4 linked regions of the Lonchura striata genome follow. The protein of the gene in region 2 interacts with the protein of the main gene of each other region in a pairwise test. Links are inferred from orthologs where the notes say so. Each region holds a gene or a part of one and is shown on either strand. Other genes may lie near its edges. The genes, in order: WAC, NFE2L2, MAFK and MAFF.

Evidence for each region.
Region 1: the proteins of NFE2L2 (region 2) and WAC interact in a two-hybrid assay, tested with the Homo sapiens proteins (2 studies listed by BioGRID and IntAct). The two-hybrid records come from large-scale screens. The link is inferred for Lonchura striata from reciprocal best matches to the Homo sapiens genes NFE2L2 and WAC.
Region 3: the proteins of NFE2L2 (region 2) and MAFK interact in binary tests that used the Homo sapiens proteins (3 or more experiments, as listed by UniProt). The link is inferred for Lonchura striata from reciprocal best matches to the Homo sapiens genes NFE2L2 and MAFK.
Region 4: the proteins of NFE2L2 (region 2) and MAFF interact in binary tests that used the Homo sapiens proteins (3 or more experiments, as listed by UniProt). The link is inferred for Lonchura striata from reciprocal best matches to the Homo sapiens genes NFE2L2 and MAFF.

What each region holds. Positions count from the first base shown.
Region 1 is NC_134603.1:141,328,567-141,335,712, forward strand, and holds the start of WAC (WW domain-containing adapter protein with coiled-coil), read left to right. Parts: upstream 1-4,139; 5' UTR 4,140-4,240; coding exon 4,241-4,281; intron 4,282-4,407; coding exon 4,408-4,444; intron 4,445-5,816; coding exon 5,817-6,012; intron 6,013-7,146. Other genes in the region: microtubule nucleation factor SSNA1, read right to left, coding at 2,124-2,468.
Region 2 is NC_134610.1:22,648,029-22,655,071, reverse strand, and holds the start of NFE2L2 (nuclear factor erythroid 2-related factor 2), read left to right. Parts: upstream 1-4,036; 5' UTR 4,037-4,078; intron 4,079-7,043. Other genes in the region: AGPS (alkyldihydroxyacetonephosphate synthase, peroxisomal), read right to left, coding at 3,732-3,925.
Region 3 is NC_134618.1:12,878,878-12,886,529, forward strand, and holds the start of MAFK (transcription factor MafK), read left to right. Parts: upstream 1-4,648; 5' UTR 4,649-4,695; intron 4,696-6,859; exon of another isoform or gene 6,860-7,652. Other genes in the region: lysosomal alpha-glucosidase, read right to left, coding at 1,207-1,229. UniProt on the Homo sapiens protein: Since they lack a putative transactivation domain, the small Mafs behave as transcriptional repressors when they dimerize among themselves.
Region 4 is NC_134607.1:23,669,189-23,676,205, reverse strand, and holds the start of MAFF (transcription factor MafF), read right to left. Parts: upstream 3,022-7,017; 5' UTR 2,905-3,021; intron 1,827-2,904; 5' UTR 1,806-1,826; coding exon 1,770-1,805; intron 1,689-1,769; coding exon 1,275-1,688; 3' UTR 1-1,274. Other genes in the region: PLA2G6 (85/88 kDa calcium-independent phospholipase A2), read left to right, coding at 3,643-3,851, 4,323-4,538, 5,740-5,920. UniProt on the Homo sapiens protein: Since they lack a putative transactivation domain, the small Mafs behave as transcriptional repressors when they dimerize among themselves.

The sequences.
Region 1 (7,146 bases), on a different chromosome or scaffold from region 2:
TTAAATGTGAATTTAAATGGAAATTTTAGATTGGGTTCACTCGATCCCAATCATGGAATTCTAGCAACATTTCATCTTTTTATTTGAATGTTGGGAAGCCCCCATCTGTGTGTAAGTACTAGCCAAGTTACATTTTCCCTTAGTTTTTTAGTAAAAAAAAAAAATTGAGCACCTCCAGTTATTTAGTTTTGACACTGTAATGCAACTAGCCATAATAATGGCTGTGAAGTAGATTTCTTTAAAGTCTTATAAGGCTTCTCTTAAAGCTTCTTTAGTTTTATCAGCTTCAGTAGAGCAAGAGGCATTATTTATGATTACTCTAAGGAAAACAAACCTGTAATTATTGTTTGAAACCAATACTATAAATAACTGTACTGTTCTCTATTATATTTCTATTATAGAAATTGTTTTTCACAATTTTAAGTTCTAGTGCAGCTAATAAGAAGCAGCTTACATTTGCAACTCCAAGTTGTTGCTCTTTAGTTAGTACTTTTCCCGAATCTTCCTATTCCCAGTAAATCAGTTACTACTATGAGTCTAAGGGCAGATAGAATGTCATAAAATGTCCAGTCAAATAAATCACTTTTTTGCTACAAAAAATAGCAAAATTTTCCTGTTTCTCTTCAACATAAACAAAGTGGTCCTGAGTGCTGCAATACTCCAATAGCAATGCTCCTGAGATAATACACTTTTATTACCTCTGCATTACCCACTGGGAATTCCCCAAAGGGCCATACAAGTAAACTGATTAGCCTAGTCACAATCATCCCTGATGTAGCTTGGCAACCAGAAGAACATAAAATTTGCTCCCTATTATTGATGAAGAGCTATTACCAAAACTATTCACATCTTCATTCCCTCTATATGTGCACCTTACAAACACACCACTATCAAGTCAGGAGATTTCAACTGCACTTCTTTCAATTTAAGTAATTGGTATTGAATGGAGATTCAGTTTAAGTCATTGTTGTAACATTTCAATAAGAGGGACAAAATGCACATGTACGTGCACACACTGCTGAGAGACTTCTGCAGAACAGAGAGGTTCAGCAGAAACAAAAAACAGCATTAAACTGATATTTATGCCATGCTGTTATATTATCCCTGATCTCTAAACTAAGTTCTATTTTAATGTCCTCTGTAAGAATGACTGATAGCTGAAAACCACTTCTCATTTTCTTCTTTCACCTTTCATTTGTATTTCTTTCATATCATTTTAGGATGTTTACTATTCTCCACAATTTTATTACAATTATTTAACAGATCAGTCTAAAGCTAAAAGGAACTAAAAAGGCTTCCAAAAATTCTATTACTGGCTTCTAGCCAGGATTATCTTCTTTGGTCTTTATTTACCTCTGTATTTTTAACTGGACCCCAGTGGTTTTTCAGGACTTCTAGTTGCTACTGACGTGATTTTCTTACCCCCAAGTGAATTACTGGTCCAAGCCTTCATGGTGCACCTGTCTTTGCACTTGCACCAAACCCTTTCACTGCAGCACATCTCCTTTCTAAACAAGGCTTTGAAGAATACCTTAAGAAGATGCATGAACCACATACAGTGTTAAATTTTAAGCCTCCATGCCCTGCATTACTCCTGATTTCTCACCTTATCCCTCTATTATTCAAATAGGCAATTATTGTAAACGGGGCTGTCTTTGTGCAGGCATCAAAACTCCGAGCTCCTAGAGCAAAGTAAAAGTAGCTCATTTCAACTTGGTCCCAACAGTAAAGCCTAAGCATTAGTAAAATGAAAAGAAGTAGTATCTGATTGACTTGCATCTACTAGTTTTCAAAGAATAATTTACTGGGAGCCATCTGAAGTCAACCAATAAAACATGCCTTTTTTCTAAGACTTGAAGCATAATGATGTCAAAACTGACAGTCTCCCATCTGCCTCAACTACCTATCTGCTATTTTTCGTAGTGTTCAATTAGGTAGATTTCTTAAAGCAAAACGGCAACTTTATTTAATCTGTTTTCTAGTGCATTTGAAAATAAAAAAACATACAGAAAGACTGGAAGAAAACCGCTCTCTGCTTATACTGTGGCTGTAGGGTTCCGTGGCTGACCACGTTTCTCACCTAGTGGAATTCTAGCACTGCAGAGTCCAAACATTTGACTGTTTCATGTTACATGGGTTTTCAGATCTGGTGAATGCTTTAAGCTTCCCACTTCCTTCTTCAGGACATTAAGTAAAGTTCTAGAGCTATCCAAAATCTTCATGTAAGCAGCTTCAGTTTCAGCAAGTATTTTATCAAGCTCATTCCGTGAAGCCACTTTTTGGGCCAAGTTTTCACATACACACTCCAGCTGTTCACTGAGGACTTGGATTTCATGCTGGAGTTTATTCTTTTCCTCTTCTGCTTGCCGGATTTGTTTGTTCAATTCTTCTTTCTGCATACATAAATCTTCAATGCATTTCACTAGTTCATTATTGTAACCCTGAAGAACAGCTCCCTGCTGAGTCATCCTGCACTCACTCCCTGAAGTCCCCTTTCAGCAATGGCCTTCTGCACTCAAATTAAAGGAAAACAAACAAACAAACAGAAAAAAAAAAAAATCTGTGAGAGCATTGCCGTGAATAATGCTTCACTAGCACAGATGGAGCCACTGGGCAAGGTTCTCTAAGTTAACAGGCCCATTCTCAGATATGCCACATCTCTTCCCTTTTCAGGAGGCAGACAGGACAAAATCTGGCAAATGTTCTTAAACCTTTACTGTAAACTGCTGTCCCTTATGACACTGCCATGGCACTGGCATCGAAGTATTTATGATACGGTTAATAATACCTTTGTACAACCTTGAATATAGGATGCTTTGTACATCAGACTTCGAGGGCCTGGTCAGAAATAAGCAAAAACTACAGAATCACAGAATGCATAAGGTTGGAAGGGACTTGTGGAGATCATCCAGTCCAACCCCCTGGCAAGACAGGGTCACCAGGAGCAACCAAGTGGGTATTGAATGTCTCCGCAGAGGGAGACTCCACGCCCTTCCCAGGGAGCCTAATCCAGTGCTCTTCCACCCTCAAAGGAATTTTTTCCTCATTCTGAGGTGAAACTTCTCGTGTTTTAGTTTATGGACGTCGCTCCTCGTCCTGTCACCGGGCACAGCCCTGAGTGGCTCAGCAGGCACTGCCAAGGCCAGGGAATCTCCCGACACGGCGGCGCCCGCAGCTCCCCCAACACTGGGGTGACGCGGCTCGCATGTGCCGGGGCCACGGCGTGTGCCGCCCTCACACCCCCGAGGACACCCCGGGACCGAGGCCAGCCCGAGCCCGCGGCCGCCGTCCCAGGGACATTTTAACACCCTCCGCGCCGCACAGCGCGGCCCCGCCGACACGCGCCGCGCACAAAATGGCTCCCGCCTGCACATCGAGTGCCCGGGCGGAAGGGGAGGAGGGGGTAGGTAAGAGGAGACCTTCCCATTCCTATGTCCCCCCCGCCCCCCGTAATTCCCCCTGTTGCCCCCACCTGCCTGGCAGGATCGCGATTCCTCCCCACCGAGGGAGCGGCTCTGCCACCGAGGCCGCGCTGCCCTCGGCTACCCGGCCCCGTGCTCCCGCCAGCGACCGCGCCGGCCCACGGAAATACCCGAGCGCTTCCGAACGTGGCGCCGCCCTGACGGCCGCACGGAAACGTCTCTCCGGAAAAACGCGATGTTTTCCGAAGACAGGTAGCGCTCGCAAGAGTGGGCCGAGGCGGGAGGGGCAGGGAGGGCCGAGCGTTACGGAAGGAGCCGATATTTGCCGAAGGGAGGGACTGAAGGGCGTCGTGCGCGGCGGAGGCAGCCGATGTTTGCCGAAGGGAGGGACTGAGGGGCGTCGGGCTCGGCGGACGCAGCCGATGTTTACCGAAGGCAGAGTCGCCCGAGAGCAAAGGGGACAGAGGGGACGGAGCGCGTCGGAAAGAGCCGGAAAGAGCCGACGTTGACCGAGCGCGGCGTCGCCCGAGTTCCCCGGATGTAGTTGGAGCGGCGGCGGCGGGCGCGGCGGGGGGAGGCGGTGGCCGAGTCGGTGCTCCCGGTGTGTCTCAGCGCGCGCGGGGCCGAGCTGCCAGCGTCTCCCCTCTCGAGGCGATGGGCCCGTGAGCGCCGCTCCAGCCGAGCTGCCCGAGCCGCCCCCTTCCCCCGCCCCTGCCCCCGGAGCGCTGCCGCCCCCGCCTCCCCCCTCGGCGCCTGTGGCCCGGCCGCGGCCGTGCCCTCCTGGTCCCCTCACCCTCACACACACAGGCCGGGCATTGATGGTAATGTATGCGAGGAAACAGCAGAGACTCAGTGATGGGTAAATTCACCCCCTCGGCCCCGCGGGGCCGCCCCCCCCACCCCCTCCGCCATGTTCGGCCCGGCCGCGGGGCCGGTAACGGGCGCTCGCTAACGCCTCTCTCTCTTTCTCTCGCTCTCTCCTCAGCTGTCACGACCGCAGGGGGGACTCGCAGCCCTACCAGGTACCGCCGGGCCGGGAGGAGGAGCAGGGGAGGCGGGGGGGGTGCTACTCCAGCGGAGGCTCCGGCGGCCGCCGCAGGCCGCGGTGCCCCGGCCGCCCCGGTCCGGCCCCTTGCGGGGCCCAGGGCCCGGCGCCGCGCGGCGGAGGAGCGGCGGCGGCCCGGGCGCGGGGAGCGGGGCCCCGCTGCTCGGCCGAGGCCTGCGGAGCCGGGGCGAGCGGGAGCGGCCTAGTGCGACCCGTGCGGGGCTCGGGCCTGGAGTCGGGGAGGGTGCGAGGGGCAGGAGAGGGAGCCGGGGTCACCTGTGGTGGAGTGGAGATCCAAGGGAGGTGAATGTTTTTCTTCTAAAAACAAAAGGAGTCTTGCTCTTCCACCGCCCCCTCCCCCAACCCCTCCCCAAAGCCCTTTCTTCTCCCCAAAACTGCTGCTGTGGGCTGTAACCTGAGCAGGGCATGGGTTTAGAGCCTGACCAACTTGGGGCTGCAAGTGAGGCTTAATTTCTGCAGTTGCCAGCTGCTAGGCATGTTCAGAAACCATCAAATCCTTGAGTTACCGACAATAGTCTCAATTTGTGTAAGGTGGATACTGCACTTTACTGTGTCTACTGAAGAAACCAAATTGTCGAGGTTCGAGTCTGTGGAAAGCTGTATGTTGTGATATTGCTCTCTGTGGGCCCTGAATTGGACTGTTTTACTGCATTTCTGTGTATTTGAATCACTGAAGTGCACTAGAGCCGTCCAAGGCAGCTGTCAGTGGCAGTTCACAAAAATGTAAACACTTGCCTCTCAGGAGTTCACAAAACCAAGCAGGTCAGAGTGCGGCAGAACATGTAGTTTTTGGTAAAGAGTTTATAATGAGTTATTATGTTACATGTTGGCCCCCTAGAATTATTTTTGGTTTAATTACAAGGATGTTAGTACTGAAAAAAACGTCACAGAAATTCAAGATAGTGATGCAACCAGGTGGTCTTTACTAGATTATGGAGGACATATTCGAAGTTTACACTGATTCAGTGTAACTTAAAGTTTGTTTTCCTAGTAACAAGTGGAGACTAGTTCCTCTCCCAAAACTGTTGAAGAGCTGTGGCCCATTTACTGCTGAAACTGTGTAATTCATCAGTGGAAAGATAGAGAAACTAGGATTCTTCTTAACAGCAAGTGTTGCATTTGATTTAATAGTGGGAGAAATTGGTTTAAGTTCTAATTACAGAACTTGTTGCTTTAATGTAGGTAATTAAAACTAGGAAGACTAATGCTGATATGTTTTAATAGGCAATGAAAATTATTTAACTTTTAAAATACTTCTGAAAGAGAAGAAAAAAATCCAAAAATTTTGTATCTAATGTAGATGCCTATGTTCTTGTGATCTGTTACAGGCTCTTAAGTACACATCCAAGAGTCACCCCAGTGGTGGTGATCACCGTCATGACAAGATGCGAGACGCCACAGATCCTTCGCCACCAAATAAAATGCTGCGGCGCTCTGACAGCCCTGAAAACAAATACGGTGACAACACAGGGCACAGTAAAGCAAAAAGTGTGCACACTCACAGAGTTAGAGAGAGGGATGGTGGTAAGTTATCTTTAACAAACTTCTACTTAACCAGTCACTGATTTCTCATTAAAATTAACCAGTATCAACTCAAGTGATGTCTTACACTAAATGTGCCTTGTACTCAGCTAGGGTGATTGCAGTGAACCCAAAGTGGGAATTTAATTGGAAGCAATCATTGAGGCATTATAACACCTATTAATTTTCTGGTTTTTACAGGTATGGTAGTTTTCCTTACAGTCCCAAAGATTAAATAAACCCTTTTGTTATTATTTTAACTAGTATGTCTCATTTATTTAGGCATACAGCAACGTTTGATAACATGAAATAGTTTTCCAATTTTTCATTAGTAATATTGGCTGTTTTGCATCCTTTCAATGACTTTGCGTATTGTGATGTTGTACTTTGTAGGTACATGCTCTATAGATTAAACTCCAACAGAAATGAAAAAAGCTTCTTTGTATTTAGCTGCTATGTAGAACTCTAATAGATCAAAGGTAGCACATACTAGAGCCTTTCTTGACTGGAATTTGAAGAAGTATGTTCACAGTCAAGTTAGCCTCCTATGTTTTTACAGGCTTATAAACAGTAGCAATATCCCCAGTTTTTTTTAACTGATCTTATTTTGCATCCCTGCTTCCTAGGAAAATAATAGGATTTTCCAGGTAATAACAGTGTTAGGTAACAAACAGCCAGAGTTTAGAAAATTGCAATTGCTGTCTGAATTTGGAAAAGTTCTTTTGTTCTGTTGATTGGTGTTTGTGTCAAGGTACAAGGTGAAGTATTCCAGTAGAGAATTTGGAGCTTTAAATCAGTGCTTCTTTTTTCTGTATAAAGCTAACAAATTCTGATGTACATACATGTTTATTGCTGCACTAGTTTTACTTGATATAATAGTTTTAGTAAAATAAAGGAAGTATCTTTCAAGTACCTTTTTAGGACATACTAGTGTAACCCTACAAATGTGTTCATGGATACCCAATTATTCTTGTAAATCCTATTTGTTTTTCCTTCTTTGGTTTAATGCTGAGGCTCTCTAGGCCACTGTTAATGACAGAGAAGTGTGTAGGTGCATTATAAGAACATGCCTCTTTTGTTAATACGCTGAATTTCATTGTATCTGATAATAATTTGAAGTGTAGTAATCTCAGAATT
Region 2 (7,043 bases):
TTTGATGCAATCACAGAACCTCCTGTGAACTGCCACACCTTCCTCAATGCAACAGGTTCTTACCCTTCTGATTTCTTAAGAGTGGTAAAGTAGCACCAGCCCTTTCCTTCTTCATCCTTTTTCATCATCTTAAACTCAGAAGTCAGCTACACCAGGATACATCTTAGCAACACATGTTGCTTAACCACCGTTCTCTAAAGGATGAAGTCCTTATTATAAAGATTCCTCTGAGTATTGGGGGTAAGGTGCAAAGCCCCTCTGAAGACACTTATATTCAAATGGTACCAATTCTTTAGGAGTTAACTGATGTTGCTGCATAATAACATCATAATCGTTAGCAGCAAGAATTTCAAGTGTCTATATGAAGAAGGTAACACATTACCCTGAACAACCTGCCTGTGAACTTGACACACAGCAGACAGCTCACTACATGCTTATCCCTTAGTTTTCCCTGTGTAACAGGATGCCCACAATAATTAAAACATATTCACAACCCTCTTTTCGTCCCTAGGAAAGCAGCTTCTCCACAGAGATAGGATAATCAGGATATGCTGTCCAGCCTTCTGTTGCAGCAAAACAGAATAAATTTTAAGCCTACAAGCTACTGAGTCAACATTTAGTTAATCTAAATGAATTATCCCTTTTAACAAAGACTAAATAATAGAAAGTTTGATTTGAGTAAGTTATACAAGTTTTCTTGAGATCAGCATCAGTGCATGATCCATCTCTGAGGCACTCATACTTTTGAGCACACCCAGCAGTTACTCTGGTACAACTCTGTTCTAGGAAGTTGTAGCACCTGACTGCTTCCAAAGCAGTTCAAGTTGAACACTTCACGTATATACAGTTATTCTGAAGATTAAGTAAATTTTTAATTCAAGTCTCACCAGCAAAGCAAGCTTACCAGTCATCAAAAGTCAACAGCATAACATAAAAGGACAGGAAAAGTAATTTCAAGGAAGAGTTATTTTCCAGCTCAATCGTTTTACCAACTTTTTCAGCATGCCTATCATCTTCTTCAGGCTTCAACACACATTGTGTAACTATGATTCCAGCTTTCACTGCAACACTCAATTAAAATATTACATTTAAGCCAGGAATGCCACTGAGAAATAACATCTCTCTACTCTCACAGTGCCTAAGATTTCCCTCAAGAGAATACTCAAACAAATAGATAGTTGCTTGTCTTCTGTGGAATTTTCCATCTCAATAACTATAACTTGAAAAAGTAGAAACACATCAATATGCATTGCTCAGTCTTCCAAGGCATTTTTATTTGGAAACAAGAAGAATTAGATTAGACCCACAGACTCAGTCAATACCATGTGCTCTTCATACTCCCCTTGCTGGTGAGAAATAGTGTCTGGATAAGATCTTTAACAGTTTGATCATGAACTATCAACAAGAAAGCCATGCTTTAGAAGTCACTGTCTACTGACTGTTAGAAAAACAGCCGGAAAAAAAAATTCTGTGATCACAGACCTAAAGTACTACAAACGGTTTTTTTCCATCAAAAAAAAAAATAATTTACTTGCAGAAGAAATGTAATATGAGGAGAGTGGAACTGAATCTGCTAAAGTAGCGTCTATAGCTTTGCTACTATTTCAAACACTACAGGAAAGATGCAACAGGTGTAAAGAACAAAAGCTTCGCTTAAGGTACTTTTGGCTACAGCTTTGCTAGGAAAAATTAAAGTAACAATTCAAAAGAGGCAGAAGAGCTGAATCAGCATTCAATAGACAAGAAGACATCATCCAGCTTTGGATTGTCCTAATATTATTTAAAAAGGCATGCACAGTCTCTAGGTCAGTTATTTTTACTAGATTTTTCCAGCAACCTTCTTAGCATCGCAAATAAAAATCAGCTCCAGATTAGCTGGGAGTCACTAGAACAAGACTCAGGCATTCATCATTTCCCACTCCAAATCAGTGTAGGCAACATAACTCACTCCTCTATCACTCCAAAACCTGGGTATTATCCTCAAACATGAGCTCAACGAAGATCCACATAGCCTAGCTATAGTGAAGTATCAGAATTTCCACATGCAGCATCTTAGGTGTGTTTCAACCATACCTCAGATGTTCAGACAGAAACTTAAGACAGAGATAAAGATCCCTTTATGTTTTTCTTGTTTCTACACATACAAAAAGGCAGCATTCTAAGTACAGCAAGAAAGTTATACCTCTAGTGAAGAACAAGCTAAGCTTTCCCTTACACCCCCACAGCAAATTTTCATTCTGAGTCCAGATCAAGTTATTTACAGTAAAAATACTAACCCATTATGATCCTGTAACAAATCCTAATAGGGGAGAGCAATATCAATAACTTGTAGAAGTACAAATGTTAAGTTCCCCAAGCCTATGTTTCCACAGAGAAAGAAGCTATCTTTCAGGTCACAGGCATCAAAGGTTTGTTTTCTCCTGCTTTTCACATATGCAATAACTGGCTGCAGAAATTATACAGCAATCCATTTAAGATAAATCCCTGAAAAACAGCTAAGCTGGTATTTTTCCATAAACAGTGATTTCTTCCTAGATTCAAACCAAACAAAAACTCAATATGGAAGGCAACAACTTCAGAACAACCCATCTGTCCCAGTGAGCAGCACAAGCATCAAATTCTCCTCAATGAGAACTAAAAGCTTTCAAAGCTGTTCACATCTGACCATATGTGCATGACATCCCAGTCCTCCCAAAGTAGGCAAGTTCAGCTTGTGACTGTAGGCCACAACTTGCCTATTAGGAGAATCCAGGCTGTTCCTTGCTCTCTTTTTGAAAAGGTTGAGAGCAAAGCATAGGCTGAATGGATTCTCCTCAAACGAGGAACAGCTCCTCTATTCACTGCTTGCCCAGTTTGCCTCTGGACTACGCCCATACACTAACAAACGAGTTCCTGTACACAGTTCGAGAGAGAATAGGAGGTTGTCTACATCCTAAGCCTTAAAATGCTCTTATAAGATAGAAAGGGGGAGAAGAAAGTCACAAAACTAATACAAGTCCACTCCAACAGAAAGGAGGCCTCATAATAACAAGTTACATGGAACTACATAATGGTATTATAATCATAGCATTTAAAAAAAAAAAAAATCTAGCAGAAAAACAAAGCCAAGAGCCAGTGAAATAACTGTGAACTAGAGAATTTGACTGCTTTCCCTTGGTGTCATGTGATCTGACTCACTACTACAGACAGCAAGAACCAGAAAAAGTATTTGATAGCTCTAAAATCATTCATTTCTAAGAAAGTTTTGTTAGAACCTCACACGTGAGCACACTCTGCCAGTATTCACATCAGCTGAAGGTTTCTGTGAACAGCAGAGGACCAAGAGACCACAGACCTTGCTCTTCACACGTGCTGCATTCCTCATTAGAGAAGCCTCGACGTATTTTACGAAAACGAAACTTCTCCATCACATCTACAGACGTGAATCAGAGGACCATGAACGACTTCCCATTTTAACACCATCCCACTTACTACAGAAACAGGTAAGAGGCTGAAGACCACCTTCTTTCGCTTTCCTCCAGTGCCCGCAGCGGCGAACGGCTTCAGCCATGTACATCACCCGCGACCGGCACCCGCCTCAGCCGCCCTCCTCCCGCGGAGCCCACGCGGGCCCCGCCGGCCCGTGCCCGCGCCCGGCCGGAGCAGAGCGCCGTCCGAGCCCGGCCCGCGCTCCGGGACCGCGCCCGGCCCGGCCCCGCCGCCGGCCCGCGGGGACCCCCGCCCGCACCCACCGCTTCTTCGGGATGGAGCCGGAGGCCGGCCCGGCGGAGCCGCCCTGCGCCTTGCAGGGGCTGGGGGAGAGCGCTCCCCGCCCCGGGGCCCGCGGCGAGCCCCGCAGGTGCCCGGAGATGATGCGCAGCCGCCGGCGGGCGGAGGACGGGGAGCCGCCGCCGCCTCCCGCTGCCTCGCCGGCCGCGGCCGCCATCGCTTCCGCGTTGCGCCGCGACCGCCGCCGGGTGAGAGGGCGCGCGGGCGGAAGGCGCCGCCCGGCGCTCCCCGCGCGGGCCCGGCCCGGCCGCGCCCCCGCCCGGCCCCGGCCCGCGCCTCGGCAGCGCCGGGCTCGGGGAGAAAGCGTTCGGTAAGGATTCCCGCCTCCGGTGCTGTAATTACAGCCCCTCTGGGTCGCTGAACAAACGGGAGAGAACACAGAGTGTCCTTTAGAGATAAGGATTGCCCAAGTTAATGATGAAATGCTAATTAATGACAATAGCATAGGCGGGTTACTTAAGAAATAGGTCGGTGTGGTGGCAGATAATCCGACAGGTGTTGCAGATTTTATCATCGCTGTTGACAGGGCCACAAAGCCCTGGTGAGCGCAGGGCTGCCGAGCCAGGTGCCTCTGTGCCTGTGCAACCCGGCTGGCCTGAGGGGGAGGATCCGGCTGCTGATCTGCTCCCCAGAAATGATTGCTGACCCACTGCTGGGAATGCATCGCCTGCTGTATGGGATACCCATCACTGGGCCGATCCTTGCAACAACCGGCCATCCTCACCGTACTTGGGACCTGGGAGAACATCAGGGATTCACTTTGTAGCATCACTTTGAAGAGGGCAACTGGGATTTAAGGGGAGATGCAGATTTGATGCCAGCCCCAGGTGCTTTCTGCTGTGAATTTACCTTGATGCACCTGAATGCTCAGGAAAGGATGCAAAAACTGGAAATACTTTAAAGTAGAACAGGAAAATAGGTTTTCTGTCTTCAAATATGTAAAAGATTGCTATCGACTGAAAGGAAGCAATCTGCCCGTCATGACTCAGCTAGGTTGGTGAGAAGTAATGAGCTCAAACTGCAAGATGTAACTTCAGTATTAGCATTAGACTATTTTCTGATGGCAGTGGAAATGAAAAACTGTTGTAGTCTGCCTAAGTAGAGAACCAAGTCACCTTCATTAGCAGCGTTAAGAACAGACAACATACATCTATCAGACATACCATTATAAGCAGTTCTGCTCAGGGCAAGGTGACCTGCTCAGATTAATTCCAGCTTTTCCTCTGTGGCATGAAGTATCTCACATGTTGTAGTCTACTCAGTTGTCACACAGGACCTACTTTCATGATCGGCTTTTGCCACTGACTGGCACCGACCAGCTTTTTGGAAGTCCTGAAGTAGATTGCTGGGGTCTACGCAATGACTGATAGTTTGATAATGACATTTTGTCTATCAATGTTGATTTATTTGTTAATTTCTTCATCGAATGTTTGTTACGTGAAATACAATCCCAGGAAAATTGATAAAGCTCTTACCCTCTTCCAAACCTCTTCTAAGGACCTATTTCTCCCATGATACTTCAACATGGTACCTTTCCATGAACTAAGCAATTTGCAGGAGGTTCCCCAGGGAGCAGGCTGTACTGCACAAGCAGGGAGCCTTGGGCTCAGTTCCTCACCTCACATGCAATATTGGTGCTTCTTTGAGTCACAGCTCCCATATATATATCAGGGATAACAGGATCTCCCCAGAGAGACTGGTCTGAAGATAAATACACTATGGACTGCGTGACAATATAGGACCAACCCCAGTAATGCCTACTGATGAGAAGCAGTTCATAAAGCCACCCAGGTGTTATTACTGTTTGTTTTGCTTTTATTCTCACCATTGCTAATTGATTTTATACCCTTTGTATACTTTCTCTAGAAAGTAGCCTGCAATTTTCCTGGGGCAGTGATTGCACTAGTTGCACTCAGGCTTAAGTTAGGTTTCCGGTATTAGTGCAACATAAACAGCTGTTGTGGCAGTTCAATAGTTTGGTTATGGAATTAAATTTCCCCCCGTGAATAATTTGTACACAAATTTCTGGATTAACTCATGCATATCCACATTTAGCTGTCTGCTGTTGCAGAGGCAGTCTGTAGGGAACAAATATGGGTCTCAACTGAATTTCCACTCACATTGTTTACTGAAGTTCTGGGTATAGCTGGGGGGACTTTGAGTCACAGTTACCTAAAACTTTCCTCATTGCTGAATGCTGCCAAGTGAATACCAAATCCCCTGTAGTAGGCTTCAGGTTTTCCTAGAATGTTTCCTTGGATCACAGTCACTTGTAAGGAACAATAATGAGCCAATTGGTCATTTATTTGATCCTAATTGTAGAGCTTCACAGTTAAAAATTGGCCTCAACTAGAATCTAATAAGTAATATTTGTAATCACCTCACAACTTGTTTCTCAAAAAAGTTCCAAATTAGTCTTTAAGTATGTGTGTGAACGAAGATTTAACTGGAGATGCTAGAGACGTAGTGGTATGATTTGGAAACTCTTGAGAGCCTTGTCTTTTGCAAAGCAGAGGAATAGCTAAGTCACACCTTGTTTTCGTGTGAGAGAGGTATTTTCTTACAGTAAGACTGCTAAGCTCCTACCAGTGCTCTGCATGCAATCCCTGCTTCCCTTGGAAGGATGGCAATCTTCATAAAAAGCAGCAGAAACATAATGTGCTGTCAGATTGTGAGGTCACTGTTTCTCATTTGCTGAAGTGAACCACTGGCATGTTTTCAAAAACTGTATCTAATTTAACCATATAATTCATTCTGATAAGTAGTAGTGCCAAGAAGAAAATTTAGGGAAAACAAATTTGAAAGTAATCTGTTGTGACACCAAAGAGAACTTTTATCAGTAAAAATACCAGCAGATCTACAATGCAGTAGTTGGAAGTATTCTAATTGTTGTTGAGCCAAAGCAGCAGCCTTTGCCATTCCATGAGCTGTTCTGCCCACAAAACTGAGTGCATCTGTAAGCATAAGTGAGATGCCAGCTCAATGTGACACCTCATGCCAACAAAGGCCTGCATTTCCAGAATTCTGCACATTGGCATTTTCAGAAAATAGTTTTAAAGCCAGTTTACAGTGTAAACAAAATAAAGTTGCCAAAGTACTGTAAAGTTTCAGAGAGGTCTTCATAACAAGGTGTCTCAGAGTTCCATTACGCAGTGGTCCCATGAGAGACACGGACGGAGCATGCTCTCAGGACAAACACTCCACTCCTAGGCAACCTGCACACAGGCTGTGCAAAGGAAAAACTCTCCTGATAAATCTTCTTGCCTTGAGTGGAG
Region 3 (7,652 bases), on a different chromosome or scaffold from region 2:
CCGGACGGCTCAACCCGCCGGGGCCTGGCCGCGAACCTCCCCGAGCGGCAGCGCCTCCGCCTTATGCAACCGCCCGCGGCTTCCCCACGCGCGGCTGGCCCGGGGACCTCTGCACGCCACGGCACACGGCACACGGCACACGCAGCCAGGGACAGCGCCCGGCGGGGACACACAGCCAGGGGGACACACAGCCAGGGGGACACACAGACAGAGGGGACACACAGCCCGGTGGGAACACACAGCCTGGCATGGACACACAGCCCGGTGGGGACACACAGCCAGGGGGACACACAGCCCGGTGGGGACACACAGACAGAGGGGACACACAGCCCGGCGGGGACACACAGCCCGGCGGGGACACACAGCCAGGGGGACACACAGCCCGGTGGGGACACACAGACAGAGGGCACACACAGCCGGTGGGGACACACAGCCGGGGGGGACACACAGCCCGGTGGGGACACACAGACAGAGGGGACACACAGCCAGGGGGGACACACAGCCAGGGGGACACACAGCCCGGTGGGCACACACAGCTGGGTGGGCACACACAGCCAGGAGGACACACAGCCCGGTGGGCACACACAGCTGGGTGGGCACACACAGCTGGGTGGGCACACACAGCCGGTGGGGACAGACAGCCAGAGGGGACATAGGCACACACAGCCCGGTGGGCACACACAGCCCGGTGGGCACACACAGCCCGGTGGGCACACACAGCCAGAGGGGACACACAGCCCGGTGGGGACACACAGCACGGTGGGCACACACAGCCAAGGGGCACACACAGCCAGGGGGGCACACACAGCCAAGGGGCACACACAGCCGGTGTGCACACACAGCCCGGTGTGCACACACAGCCGGTGTGCACACACAGCCCGGTGGGCACACACAGCCAGGGGGGCACACACAGCCGGTGGGCACACACAGCCAAGGGGCACACACAGCCGGTGTGCACACACAGCCGGTGGGCACACACAGCCGGTGTGCACACACAGCCGGTGGGCACACACAGCCGGTGTGCACACACAGCCGGTGGGCACACACAGCCGGTGGGCACACACAGCCGGTGTGCACACACAGCCGGTGGGCACACACAGCCGGTGGGCACACACACCGGCGCGTCCCCGGGCGGGCACGGGCAGCGCCGCGCCCCGGGAGCCCCTGCCCGCCTGCGGGCCCCGCTCCGGCCGTACCGGCGCTTACATACGCGTGTCTCCTCTTGACATTGTGGCGGCGGGCGGCGGGCGGCGGGCACCGAGCACCGGGCCGCGCTCCCGGCGCTGCGGCTCCGCCGGCCCCGCCGTAAACACCCGACGAGCCGCTCGGCCGGCTCCTACCGCGCCTCTGGAGTAGCAGCGCATCGCCCCTCCTCCGCGTTGGGCGGTTTTTCAATTTTATTTTTAATAGTTGTGTCTACGCTCGGTGCTGTTCAAGAGTGGGGAGTATGGGAGAGTGGAGGGTTTTTTAGGTTTTTCCACAGTTGATGCATGCACGGTGTCAAAACCCAGAGAATGAACAGCTCTGTGCCCTCTTATAGGGTGAGAGCAATTTATCCCTGCTCAGTGGCTTCAGGGAATCGTGATGCTGGGTGTGTTTTGGGCCAGACTCACAAAACCCCACACATCCCAGAACACTGCCCTTTCTCCATCCAAGTTTTCACCAGAGGTCCTGTCTCCCATGCACTCCTCTTCATTTGCTTAACAAGTGTGTGTGCTGCACAGGCTTTCCCACATTTCAAGGGACTGGAGAGCTGTTCTTTGTTTACTTTGAAGGCCACCCATGTCTAAAGTTCAACAGCGAATGAAAACCGACCTTTGGAGCACAGATACTTTCCCCAGGGAATGAAAACAAAAAGTAACCTGTTGTGAACAGCAAAATTCATCCAGAAACAGAATTTCACGTGACACAGCTGCTCCCCTCCTGCCATATGTGATCTTTCAAACCCCATGTTGTTGCAAAAAGAGGGGGAAATACCTCAATTCTGTTGAGCCCCATATGCAGGGCTGTCACCACAGACGGTGAAACCCCCATGCAGGATGCAGCCAGCCCATCCCTCCTGCCCTTGAGGACCAGCATCTTGTGAATGTCTCAGGGATAAACCCTGGATGATTTAGGATGGCTCTGGCCACTCTTGGTTATCACCACTCAGAGAGAGCACAAGGAGCAGGTGGCTATGCTGGGGACATCTGTGGCTCCAAAGGCTCCCACACCCAGCATCTCTCTCCTTGCTTGGCTTGGCTCTCTGAGACACTAGAACCTTCCTGGATGGAAAGGAGATCTGGAGACAAACCTCAGAAGCATCAGTAGGGCCCTCTAGCCCTTAGATCACCCTTCCCAGCACCCAGGGCAGTATTTCAACCAGTGTCTGCAAACCTGGGAGAGGTGAAGGCCGAGCTGTTGCAGCTACACTGGACAGCAGCTTCATGCCACCCACCACCTGGGAGCTTTAGCCAACCTCATTAGCTCAGTTCCAGTGATAAATGGGGATTTCTTAACATCAGGGAGGTGCATTCACCTAAACCTTGCTCTGGCTGCCCAGATGCATGGGGCTGTGCCAGATATGAGGCTCCCTGTGTTTTGCAGCTCTTGTTATTCAAAGGGAGCAGGGAAAGACGGGATCTTACTCACAGCCTCAGTTATGGCCCTTAGGCTGGAAAGCACAAACTGCATGAGGCTCACACAGACTTTCCAACATTGTAATGGACACAAAGAATGCAAAACAAGTCCAGCTGAGATGGAGGCAGTTTGGTTTAGTCAACTGCCTGTGTTATTACATTTTTTGATGCATTATCATCATTGTTGAATGGCCCCAGGGTCCGAAATGCTGTTCACACCATAGGGGTCAGGGTGCTGTGTTTAGTAGCTCACATAACTGCATGAAGAAAGTGCAAAGATTGGGTTGAGGATCCAGCCCTGGGCAGGATTTGGCCCTGCTGCAATGCTCAGGGAGCTGCAGGACGAGCAGTGCTGGCAAAGGCTGGTCCAGAGCTAGTGGAGGACAAGGCTAGTCAGTGGCCACCTCAAGGTGCCCAGGGAACAAGTGAGTCCTCCCAAGAGCATTGGGATGCCCAGGACATGTTCCCCCACCATCATTTGCCCTGCAACAAAGCCAAGTGCTGGTGCTGCACCTGGGTCAGGGTAACTCCAGATATCAATCCAGACTGTGGGATGAATGGATCAAGAGCAGCCCTTCCAAGGATTTGAGGGGGCTGGTGGATGAGAGGTTGGATATGAGCCAAGAAAACACTTGCAACCTAGAAAGCCAACTGTGTCCTGGGCTGCACCTGGCCAGCAGGTCAAGGGAAGTGATTCTACCCTTCTGCTCTGCTCTGTGAGAGCCCACCTGCAGTGCTGTGCCCAGCTCTGTGGTTCTCAGCACAGGAACAACATGGAGCTGTTGGAGTGAGTCCAGAGGAGGCCACCAAATTGATTAGAAGGATGGAGCACCTCTTGTATGAGGAGAGAATTGGGATTGCTCAGCCTGGACAAAAGAAGGAGACCTTCAGGGAGCTCTTACTGTCATCTTTCCCTGTCTGAAGGGAGCCTGCAAGAAACCTAAAGAGGGACTTTTGACTGGGGCACGTGGTGGCAGGACAAGGGGTAATGGCTTTAAACTGACAAAGAGCAGGTTTAGATTAGAAATCAGAAATAAATCTTTTCCATGACGGTGGTGAGACACTGGCACAGGTTACACAGAAAAGTTGTGGATGCCACATCCCTGGAGGTGTTCAAGGCCAGTTTGGATGCAGTTTGGAACAGCCTCGTCTAGCGTAAGGTGTCCCTGCCCATGGTGGCAGGGGGGTTGAAAGGCGATGAGCTTTGAGGTCCCTCCCTAACCAACCATTCTATGACTGCACAAAACGTGTGAGCTCCCGCCATCGGGGCTGATGCGGGTGGCAGGGAGCTGCCGGAGAGGGGTGAACCCCGCAGCGGGGCGGGGGCACGGGGCATGGCGTAGAGGAGACGGGGATGAGGATGGGGATGAAGAGGGATAAGGATCAGGGTGAGGATGAGGATGAAGGGGACACAGAAGAGGGATAAGGATCAGGGTGACGATGGGGATGAAGGGGACACAGAAGAGGGATAAGGATCAGGGTGAGGATGGGGATGAAGGGGACACAGAAGAGGGATAAGGATCAGGGTGATGATGGGGATGAAGGGGACACAGAAGAGGGATAAGGATCAGGGTGAGGATGGGGATGAAGGGGACACAGAAGAGGGATAAGGATCAGGGTGAGGATGGGGATGAAGGGGACACAGAAGAGGGATAAGGATCAGGGTGTGGATGGGGAGAAAGATGGAGGTGAAGGAGGGATGAGGACCAGGATGAGAATAAGGATGGGGACGCGGACGAGGACGAAGGGGGGCGACTACGTGCCGGCAGCGTGGCCCCGCCCGTCCCGCGCCCTTGCCCATGAATGAACGGCGCGGCGCGGGCGGTCCCGGCGGTGACGCGGCGGGCGGGCCGGGCGGGCGGTGACGCGCGCGGTGACGCGCCATGCCGGAAGCGGCGGGGGCGCTGGTTGGTCGGCGGCGCGGCGGGGGGGAGGCGGCCGCCCCGCGCTTGTTGTTGTCCGCGGGACTCGCTGGCAGGGAGGGAGGAGGGAGCCGCGCAGCGCCCCCGCCGCCGCCCCCGCGCCCCCGCCGCCCCCGCCGCCGCCCCCGCCACGGGGCGCTCCCGCCGGCACGCAGGTGAGGAGCCGCCCGGGCGCGGCGCGGAGGGGGCGGGGGCGGGGGGGTGGGTCGGAGCCGGGAAAGGGGGGGTGGCCGCGCGTTGCCGCTCGATGGCGGGGGAAGGGGCGGCTCGGCGCGGCTCCCGCCCGGGTCCCGCTCGGTCCGGTCGGGTCCGGTTGGGCGCGGGCGGGCGGGGCGGCGGAGGTAAAAGTGCTGAGTCACCACCGCGCCGGGCACGTGGTGCCGCCGCCCCTCGCACCGGGCCGGGCCGGGCCGGGCGCGCACGTGGGGCCCGGCGGAGGGCGAGGGGAGGGCGGCGGCGGGGCTCGGGGAGCGCCGCCCGCCCCCGCCGAGCGGCCCCCGAAGCCCCCGCGGGGCGGAGGCGCGACGGCCCCGCCGTCACCGCTGCCCTGTCACCTCGCACCAGTGCGGAGCCGGCTCCGCTGAACCCCCGTGGGACGGGGCTGGCAGCGCCCCCGCACCCTAGGGGACGCGGGGCTGAGGGTCCCCTGGCTGTTTGCCGGGGTGATGCTTTCCGTGTCTCTTGTTGTTATTTTTCTTCCCCCCGAGGATGAGCGCGCTGCCTGCCTCTGCCTTTGAATGGCTCTTAAAATACATGTGAGGAAACCTGTTGTGACGCCGCGCGCTCCGCCGACTAAGAATAGCAGCTTTTGTAGTACGGAGGGAGCCGGGGCGCAGCCGGGGCCGGGCAGCGTGGCCGGGCGTGGTGGCGGCTTCGCGATCCGCTGTCCGCCCCGGGTTATCGGGCAGGAGCAGCCGCCGCCACCGGGAAACGCCAGGCGGGCGCGTCGCTGCCCATCGGATGGGCTGGGGGTCAGGGCTGCGGCGGGTGGGGGGCTTATCTCTGCTGAGCACAGCTGCTGGTTGGGTCGAAAGAGGGAGAGGTGCATGGTGTGTTCGGTGCCGGAGCCTGTGGGGAGGGAGGGCTGCGTGTGCATGGGGCCGCCCTGGAAACGGGGTGCTCTGCGGCCGCCGAGGGACGGGCCGTGGGAGGAAAGGGGACGGTGACATTCCGGGAGCGGGCACTGCCGCGTGACTGTCTGGTGGGTGCGGGACGGTTTGGGGATCTAATCAGGAGTGCGGAGGTGGGTGGGGGGAACCTCTTCAACCTCCCCGTGACGGCAGCGGCATAAGGTGGGGAAACATCCAGACCACGAGCGACGGGAACCGAGATCGCCAAACTCTCACAGTGTGTCAGGGTCTGTTTCCTTCCTCCTCCTCTTCTTCCTCGGGCTGAGAGCCCGTTCCTCTCCCTCGTGAGTTTCTCCGTGGAGGATTTATTTTACAGATTCTGCTGAAAGCAGGCCATGAGGTCTCAAATTAGGAACGAGCCCCCTTTGGGCAAAGTTGTTACAGAAAAGGGAAGGGCCTCCATTTTCGCTTTCACCTGGCCGCCCCCTCCTTTGCTAGCGTGCCTAATGCTGAGCTGGGACTGCGGAAGGTGGAGGGAGCCAGTGCGAGCTGCGTGTTTCCCTGAAAAGCTGCACGCCTTTTTCTTGCACTTTCAGTTTTTGTAATGAGCCCTGTGGCGGTCGCAGCCCCGCGCCCCAGCCCTGCGCCCCGTGCTGTCGGGCTTTTAGCAGCGAACGAGTTTACCTGGTGGGTGGGCGGTGTTTTATGTTTTTTTTTTTTTCCTCACTGATGAAAGCAGCGTGCGTCCCTCCTCTTTTTTTTCCCCCCTCTCCTTCCGTGTGTGTCCGCGGTGCTGCCTGCGGAGAGCCCTTCCTCGAGCCTTCCCCGTGCAGTCACTTCCTCGGGCTGATGGACGCCGCGCCCGCCCAATGGCTGCGCGGCCGCGGAGTTCGCCGCGCTCCCGCCCGGCCGCGCTGCCGGCCCCGGCGCTGCCGGCCGAGTCCCCGGGCCGCTTGCCGCAAGGTTGGGCACACGGTGACTCTGGCCGGCAGGACACCCTGCCCGCTTCGGCGGCCTCCGAGCTTGACGGCTTTGAGCCCTCTTAGGTGTTCTCGGCTGTATTACGCCAGCTTCTCGCCTTGCTTCGCAACTGTTTCTGAACCACAGGCAGAAATTTGTTGGCGGTTTTTTATTTTATCCCTGCTTGCTTGTCAAGGGCAGCGTGCTTTGTCATGTTTTATGTCATTTCTGCGCCGTCGCCCGTCTCGGCAATCTGTTGCAGCATGGAGTTCAGTACTGCTGTGTGCCTCCTGAAAGGGAAAAATACAGATCAGCTTGATACCCTCTGATTTCCATCAGCATTGGAAGATGATTAATGGCATGGAATGTGCTGCAGGACTTGGTATTGAAAATCTCTAGCTGTGTGAGATGTTTGGGAAGTGAAGAAAGGACAGCTGGGAGCGCTGGCCCCTGCGGCAGTCGGGGTTTGCGGGATAAGCTCGCTCACTGATCATTTTTGTAAACATCCAGCTGTGAAATACTTGAGCGGTGCTAGCACTTTCAATTATCAGGAAGTTTCAGGCTCAGCACCCTGTAGAGATGAACAGGCAATTTCCACTTCTGTCTCAGCTATTGTTTGAGGCTATCTTCAAACTTGGGCAGAGAGTCTTCCAAGCATGAAGCAAGCACAAGCAATGCAGTGCCCTGTGACCGTCAGCACAAGGGCTGGGGGAAGGCAGTAGTGAGAGCAATTACCCTGGCACTGTGCTCCTGAGTTGAGGGACAGGCTGCATAGTGGATCCCACTGCTTTGCAATATTGAAGGATGCCAAATAGCGATGCCGCTATGTTCCGTTATTACAGTTAGTGAAGATCGCTGACTTGATGGCTGGCACTTTGGGTCAGAAGCAGCAAAGTTAGGAATCCCAATCCCAGTTCTGCCCCAGGGTCTGGCTGTGCATCCGAGGAAGTTACTTGTTGCTTGGTGGTTCAGCTTGTCCGGCTGGGGAGCTGCATCTCTGGGCTGGTGATGCTGAGGTGTAATTCCAGTATATCTCTGTCACCGCGTTTTACAAGCACGTGATGGAAAAAGTGCTGTAAGCT
Region 4 (7,017 bases), on a different chromosome or scaffold from region 2:
CAGGGAAGAATGGAGGCTGCAGCCGAGGGCGGCTGGCGTGGCAATACCCAGGCAAGGGCAGAATGGAGGGGCAGGGGAATCATCTACAGCAGCAGATCCTGAGATGGACCTGCCTCCTGCTCCCTCCCCTGTGCTGCCTGTATTTAGCGAACCCAGCTCTTCTCCAGCCTTTCAGCCTGCTCAAGAGCTGGTTGTCCCACACCTGTGTCCAAGCTGGAGGAAAACCAAAGGGAGGAGCCTACCTGCCTGCCAGGCAGCTCCAAGGAGCAGGGATGCTCTCTGTCCCTACTTCCTGCATCTTCACCCCTCTCTCTCTCCACATCTCCGACTCTGAGGGCTGGGAGCACCTTTCCATGGGCTTTGTAGGTGGTGGGGCACCGGGGAGGACTTGGTGGGGCCATACAAGCTGGCCTGTGCTGAGCAAAACAGTGTTTATCTCTGCTCCTGCTGCCTCTGCTTCCTTCCTGCCAGTGCTGCTGCATTTCAGACACCCGGCCAGGCTGTGTGTCCCATCAGCAGGAAGAGGCGTGAAGGATGTGCATGCTAGAGATAGATAAAACAGCACCACTGCTTTTCCCCTTCGTGGACAACAGCCTGGAGTGACCCACTCAGGTCTCCCAGCTCCCCCCTGCCCAATCACTGTCACCTCTGGGGTCCCCCAGCACCACAAGCTGCCACAGTGCTTTCCCATTCCATTCACCCTTACCAGGCATTAACACGCAGCCACTTTATCTCCCCCTCTGACCTGCTAACCTCCCCTTGCCATCTGAATCCCCAGAGATTTCAGACATGCTGCCACCTCCCTTCCTGCTCCAGCTGTGGTCCAGGTTATCTGCCTAATGCCAATACCCTTCTATCATGCCTTCTTCCCCTACACTGCAAAACCTCTCTCCCTGGCACATGCTTCTGGGACTGCCTGGCCCACATGTGGCTCTCCCATGTCCTCTCACAAAAGAGAGGCACGTGGCATTTTCCAACCAGCTTGGAGCTGTGGGATGCTTCCCCACTGCTGCCTGTGTGGGTTCACTCTCTCCTGTCTGCACACCCAAGAGGGGAGGGGGCTATGGGGGCCACCAGTGAGGTCCTGTCCTCCATCCAAGTACCCACATAGCAGCAGCCCTCCCTACCTGGGGGAGCTGGAGGTCAAGGGATGGGAGAAAGAGGATTTTGGGCACAGGTCCTGACAGAGAGGAGGTTGGGGAAGGGCTGGGAGGCAATTCATAGGGAAGGCACCCCGGGGAGGACTGTGCCCAGCGGGGGAACAGAGGCCAGCACTAGGAGTAGGCAGCCTGGTTGGTGCTGGACTTGACAATGGTGATGACACTGGCAGTAGCCACCTTGGCGGGGGGCCCGTGAGTGGCCACGGTGCGGGCGAAGCCCTGCAGGGCCTCGTACTTGCCACGGAGGGTGTCGAGCTCCAGGCGCATGGCAGCGTTCTCCCGGGCCAGCTTGTCCACCTCCCACTCCAGCTCCATCTTCTGCTTCTGCAGCTCTTCCTTCTGGCAGACGCGCTTCACTCGGCAGCTGGCAGCATAACCCCGGTTCTTCAGTGTCCGACGACGCTGCTTCAGCCTCGCCACCTCCTCCTTGGAGAGGCCCCGCAGGTGGTGGTTGAGTTCCCGCACTGACAGCCCCATCAGCTCCTCATCTGACAGCAGTGGAGTGTTCTCCCCCAGCTCCCGCTTCACCTGCCGGAGAGAGGGGTGGCTGCCTGAGACCCCCAAAACCAGCCCCCTGACTCCCAAGCCCCTGTTCTCACTGGTGCTCACCTTCAAAGCCTTGCTGGAGAGCCCGTCTGCAGCCATCCTTTCCTCGCTCTGGCCCTGCTGAGCAGCCAGGAGAAAAGCTGGTTACTGCCAGCCCCGTGTTCCTCACCTCAGAAGAGAGGACACCAGCCCTGCTGGTCCCCTGCCCGCTACCCACATCCCCCCCACCCCGGGCCGCATGACTCATCCCACTCCTTTTAAAAAAGTATATAGTAATAATATTAATAGCAATGATGACTGCAAGCAATAATAATAATGAGGCAAGGATGGACCTCCCACCCTCCTTCATCCCATCACGAGACGGTTGGGATGCTGCTCTGCCCAGGGGACCCAAAATGCCCCAGCCGTCTGCTGGGAAGCCAAGCCTTTCCCGCGGGGAGGAAACACAGGCGAGATCCGCCCGGGGCTGAAGGGAAAGTAAAAGCAGCAGCCCCACCGAGTGACACGGTGGCGAAGTCACCCAGTCGGGACCCGTGTGGAGACGCTGCCCCACCGCCCGGCGAGAGCACGGCGGGTCCCGGCGCAAGGGTCGGGTGTCCCCTGGCTCGGGGGCGGGCGGGTGAGAAGTGGCCGCCCCGTGATTCAGCAGCCCCGGGGTGAAAGTCACGGAAGCGGTGCCTGCCCCTCGCCGATGGCCGGTCCCTCGCCGCCCCCGGGTTCGGAGAGTGAGGAGGGGTCCGGGACCCCGGACTGCAGCCCAGCAGCGTCTCCCCACCTCGGGGAACCCCGTCCTCGTTAGGACAGCCCTCAGAGGGACGAGGGGGGCCGGGACGGGGCCGAGAGCGCCCCGAGAGGAATGAGGGGCTGGAGGGGGGCGGCGGGAAAGGTGGAGCCGGGCCGGCTGGAAGCTGATGCAATCCGGGCCGGGGATCCGCCGCCGGAGCCGGAGGAGCGGCGGCGGATCCCTCCAGGGCGGTGGCCGGCAATTGAAAAGGAAGAACGGACGGCACCGAGCGCGGCTGGCCGGCCGGCCCCCTGTCCCGTCCCCCCCAGCCCTAGTCCCGGTCCCGATCCCCGCCTTCGGCGGCGGCAGAGAGGCCTCCAGCCGGTGCCGGACCCCGCCGCCCCCTTCTCCCGGCCGCCCCGCGAGGGGCGAAGCCGAGGCGGGAGCGGAGGGGCCGCTCCGGCCGGCGCTCACCTGGCGGCTGCGCTGGTCCCGCGGGGCCGCTGCCGGGTCAGGGCGTCGGGCGGCGCCTCCAACCTCGCTCCCCGCGATTACTCACCCGCGGATTCTTTTCATTCATAAAAACACAGTCATGCGGTGACGTCACCCTCGCCACGCCCCCTTACCGCCGCTGCAGCGCGGGACGGCAGCTGCCCTTAAAGCGCCCGCTGCCCTTAAAGCGCCCCGCGGTGCCAGCGCTCCTCGCACGCTGCCAGCGCTCCTCGCACCCCGCGCTGGGAACGCGGCCGCGCTCCAACAGCGCTGGATTGACCTCGAGCTCAGGGGAGGCGCACGACTGGTGAACGGCGCTGCCGGCAGCAGAACGCCCCACCGAAATGGGCCGCTCCCGCTTTAAGAAGGGCGGCCCCACCCCTGTCGCCCCGCCCCTCACAAAGATGGCGCCTTCCGCTCTCCTCCTTCGGCAGGCGGCGGGCGCCGCTTTAATCCCTCCCCCATGGCCCCGCCCCAGAAGCGGCGCCGCTGATTGGTCCGTCCCGGGGGGCGGTGCCGGCGATTGGCGCGCGGCGGGCGGTGCGCGCGGGGGGCGGCGCGCGGGGGGCGCTGGGGGCCCGTCGTGCTTTGCCCGGCGCCATCCCCGGATCCCGCCTCGTCCCGACCCCCGGTCCGGGTCAGCCGTGCCTGGAAGGGCAGGGGCCGGCGGGGCCAGTGGCCGCCTTTCCCTCAGGAGAGGCCGCCTGAGGCTCTGGGAAGATGCAGTTCTTTGGGCGGCTGCTGGACACCTTCAGCAGCGTCACGCAGATATTCTCCAGCCCGTACCGCGTGAGGGAGGTGCCGGCCGCCGAGTACGCCGGTCACGCCTGCCTGCGGGAGGAGGGCAGGGTGGCCCTCTACAAGAACAGCCTCTCTCGCTCCTGGGACTGCTTGCTGGTGAATCCCCAGAGCCCGCAGGTCGCGTTCCGGTGAGTGACAGACCTTTAGCCGTCCCTGCTGACGTGGGAAAACAAAGACCCCAGATTGCTGATGTCGGGACTGCTTCGAGGCCGTGGGTGTGGGTTGTTGTGTTGAAGCAGCAAGTGGGCTGGGAGGCCTGTGCGTGTGCTGGTGGAGGAGTTGTCGCAAAACAGCTCGTGGAAGTAGGACGAGGTCCAAAAATTGCGACTACAGGCAGTTGTGATATAGTTCAGAGCATCCATAGGTCCACATGCATTTCTGCTCGTTCATGTTTCTGTGCAAAACCTGACATTGTTCAGGAAGAGGGGTGCTCTCTTCCAGTGGTCTCCCTGCTTTCCTTGGGACAAAGGTGACCTTAGTTGAAGAAGAAAAGGAAAGTTCCCAGCACTGCCATTTGGAAAAGAGCTGTTTCCCTCACGTACATGGGATTGGGGTTATTCCTTTGAGCAGGATGAACCTTGTGCTTGCCTTTTCTCCAGGCTCTTCCAGCTGGACAACGAAGCAGACGCCCTGGTGTACTTTGAGCAATATGCCCGGCAGCTGCGCCCTTTCTACGAGAGCTCGTGCCAGCCCTTGTCCCTGGAGGAGCTCCAGCAGCTCAGCGACTGCATCCGCAGCTACCCCAGCTGGTCCCCTGCACACATTGCCGTGGAGTTCGGCCGTCGGGAGAGCTTCCGGCACAACCACATCCTGAGGCAAGGAGCAGGGTGTCTCCAGGGGCTCCATGCTCGGAAGGAGCTTGGGAGGACAGGCTGGGCTGTATTAGAGTATCCCTTCTTTGCTGCGGAAGCTGGTTGGTGGGTTTCAACCTGCTGCTGCAGAGCCTGGAGCTCTGGTGTTTAAAGTAAAGGATTGAAGTGTCCTGCTAGAGATACTGATTAGGTTATTGCAAGCCTTCTGGAGCAGCTTTTTGGAGGAGGTTTTTGCTCGCTTTGTAAGCACTGAGAGTGGAGATATGGTAGGACTGTCTGGAAAGAGGTTTTGGCCACAAAACCTTGTTGGTTTTTCATGGGGAACTTCTGCTGTGATTTAACCCCAGCCAGCAGGCAAGCCACATGCAGCCACTCCTCATTTCCATACCAGAGGGAGTGGGGAGAGAATTGAAAGAGTAAAAGGTAGAAAACCTGGGTTGAGATAAAGAAAGGGAAAGCAAAAGCTGTGTACACAAGCAAAGTAAAATAAGGAATTGAATCACTGCTTGCCACAGGCAAGCAGGTGTTCAGCCACCTCCAGGGCCCCATCATGCATCTAGGTGACTTGGGAGGACAAATGCCATCACTCCAAATGTCCCCCCACTTCCTCCTTCTCCCCACACTTTATATACTACGCATGGTGTCATATGGGCTGGAAAATCCCTTTGGTCAGTTGGGGTCACCTGTCCCAGCTGTGTTTCCTCCCAACCTCACCTGCACCTCCAGTTTCCTTACCAGTGGATCAGTATGAAAAGCAGAAAAGGCCTTGGCTCTGTGTAAACTCTGCATAGCAATAACAAAAATATCTCTGTGTTCAGCACAAATCCAAAACATAGTCCCACACCAACCACTGTGAAGAAAGTTAACTCTACCCGAGCCAAAACCATCACAGATTTACCGAGGATAGGGCAGATTGGTGAGGAGGTAGGGGACTGGAGGGCAAATAGCAGCACCATCTCTAGGTTGCTGACTGTAACCTGTTTCCTGCCTCCCTTTGGGCAGAGGGAGTTGATCCCATATGGAGGGCAGGGAAAGGAGCAGCCTGTCAGGGAGATAGTCCAGGAGATGGCTACTTGATGTCCCTTCCCTCTGCTTCTTCTCTGGCCAGAGGCTGGGCTTTCCTGAACTTGATGGTTCACACCAGATGGGACACATCTCTTCTCCGTGGCCATTCCTGGGCCTCACGCTGAGTCCTCTCTTGCAGCTGTGTGAACAGCACGGACAGCGAGGATGGCTGCACCCCACTGCACCTGGCGTGCCGCAAGGGGGATGTGGAGTGCCTGCTGGAGCTGCTGGAGTGCCACGCGCGGGTGGACATCACCGACAAGAATGGGGAGACTGTTTTCCACTATGCTGTGCGAGGAAACAACCCCCAGATCATTGAGGTGGGAGCGACTTCTAGTTTGGGAGAAAGTGGGACTAGAATGGGTCTTCTCTGTGCTGTGATAGAGGTGGGAAAACAGCTACAGACAAGGGAAGAGAAAGTCAGTTCCCTGTGTTGAGTTATTGCTTAAGCCTGATTTCAGCCTCTTATATCCCCTCTTTACTGGTGCTGTTTCCCATATTCAGAGTGCAGATTCCACCCAGCACTCAAACAAGGATGCTAAGCAAGTTTCCCCAGAATGTAATGCTTCTCTGCTTTTTTGCATCAGGCCTCTATCCTGCTTTACCTCAGGCCTGTGGCCATCTGTTCCCTCTCTCCTGCGAGCAGGGTGTTTGGTTTTGGGCAGAGTGCTCCTATAGGGAAGTGTGTGCTGAGGCTGCCATGGGGGATCGTGTGCTGCCCACAGACTGAAGGGCAGTTTGGAGCTGCAGGACCTGCTGTTTGAACTGAGTGGCCTTGCATGGAGCACAGTGATCAGAGCCTCGAGGCAGAGACAGTCTGAGGTTGTAGATGTTCTTGATTGCTGAGAAGTGCTGGGCAGAGTGACGGGGTTTGTAAGGTGTGGGTGGCCTTGCACATGGTTCCTGAAGTCTGTCAGCTCCCCAAGACTTGGTGCAAGCCTGGGACTGACTCTTCCCCATGGCTGCAATCCCCATGTTTGCCCAATACCTGTTGTGACAGCTCTCCCTCTGCCTACCAGTCGGTGTTGGAGTTTCCTAATGCATGATGAGGATCAGGGCTTGCCATGCTGTGGAGTGGGCACTTAGGAACTTTGTGTTAAGAAGATATCCTCTTCTTTATTTCTCTGGTGACATCAACTTGGCTTGTTGTGTGATCTTTCTCATGTTTGTTTTCTGTATTGATTCCTTGCTAAACCAACAAAAATAAACTAAATTTCCACTTCTCATATGTGCACCAGGGCTTGCAGGGTTTCCCCAATGTGGCAGTGAAATACTTTTCTGCAACAAACCAGTCAGCATGTAACAGATCTGCAATTTACAGGGAGCAGGGATGAAGAGGACAGGCTGTAGCATTGTGAGGGGTCCAGTGCTCCAGAGACTGTCCACAGAGCTCAAGAAGAGATTATGCTCTTCCATG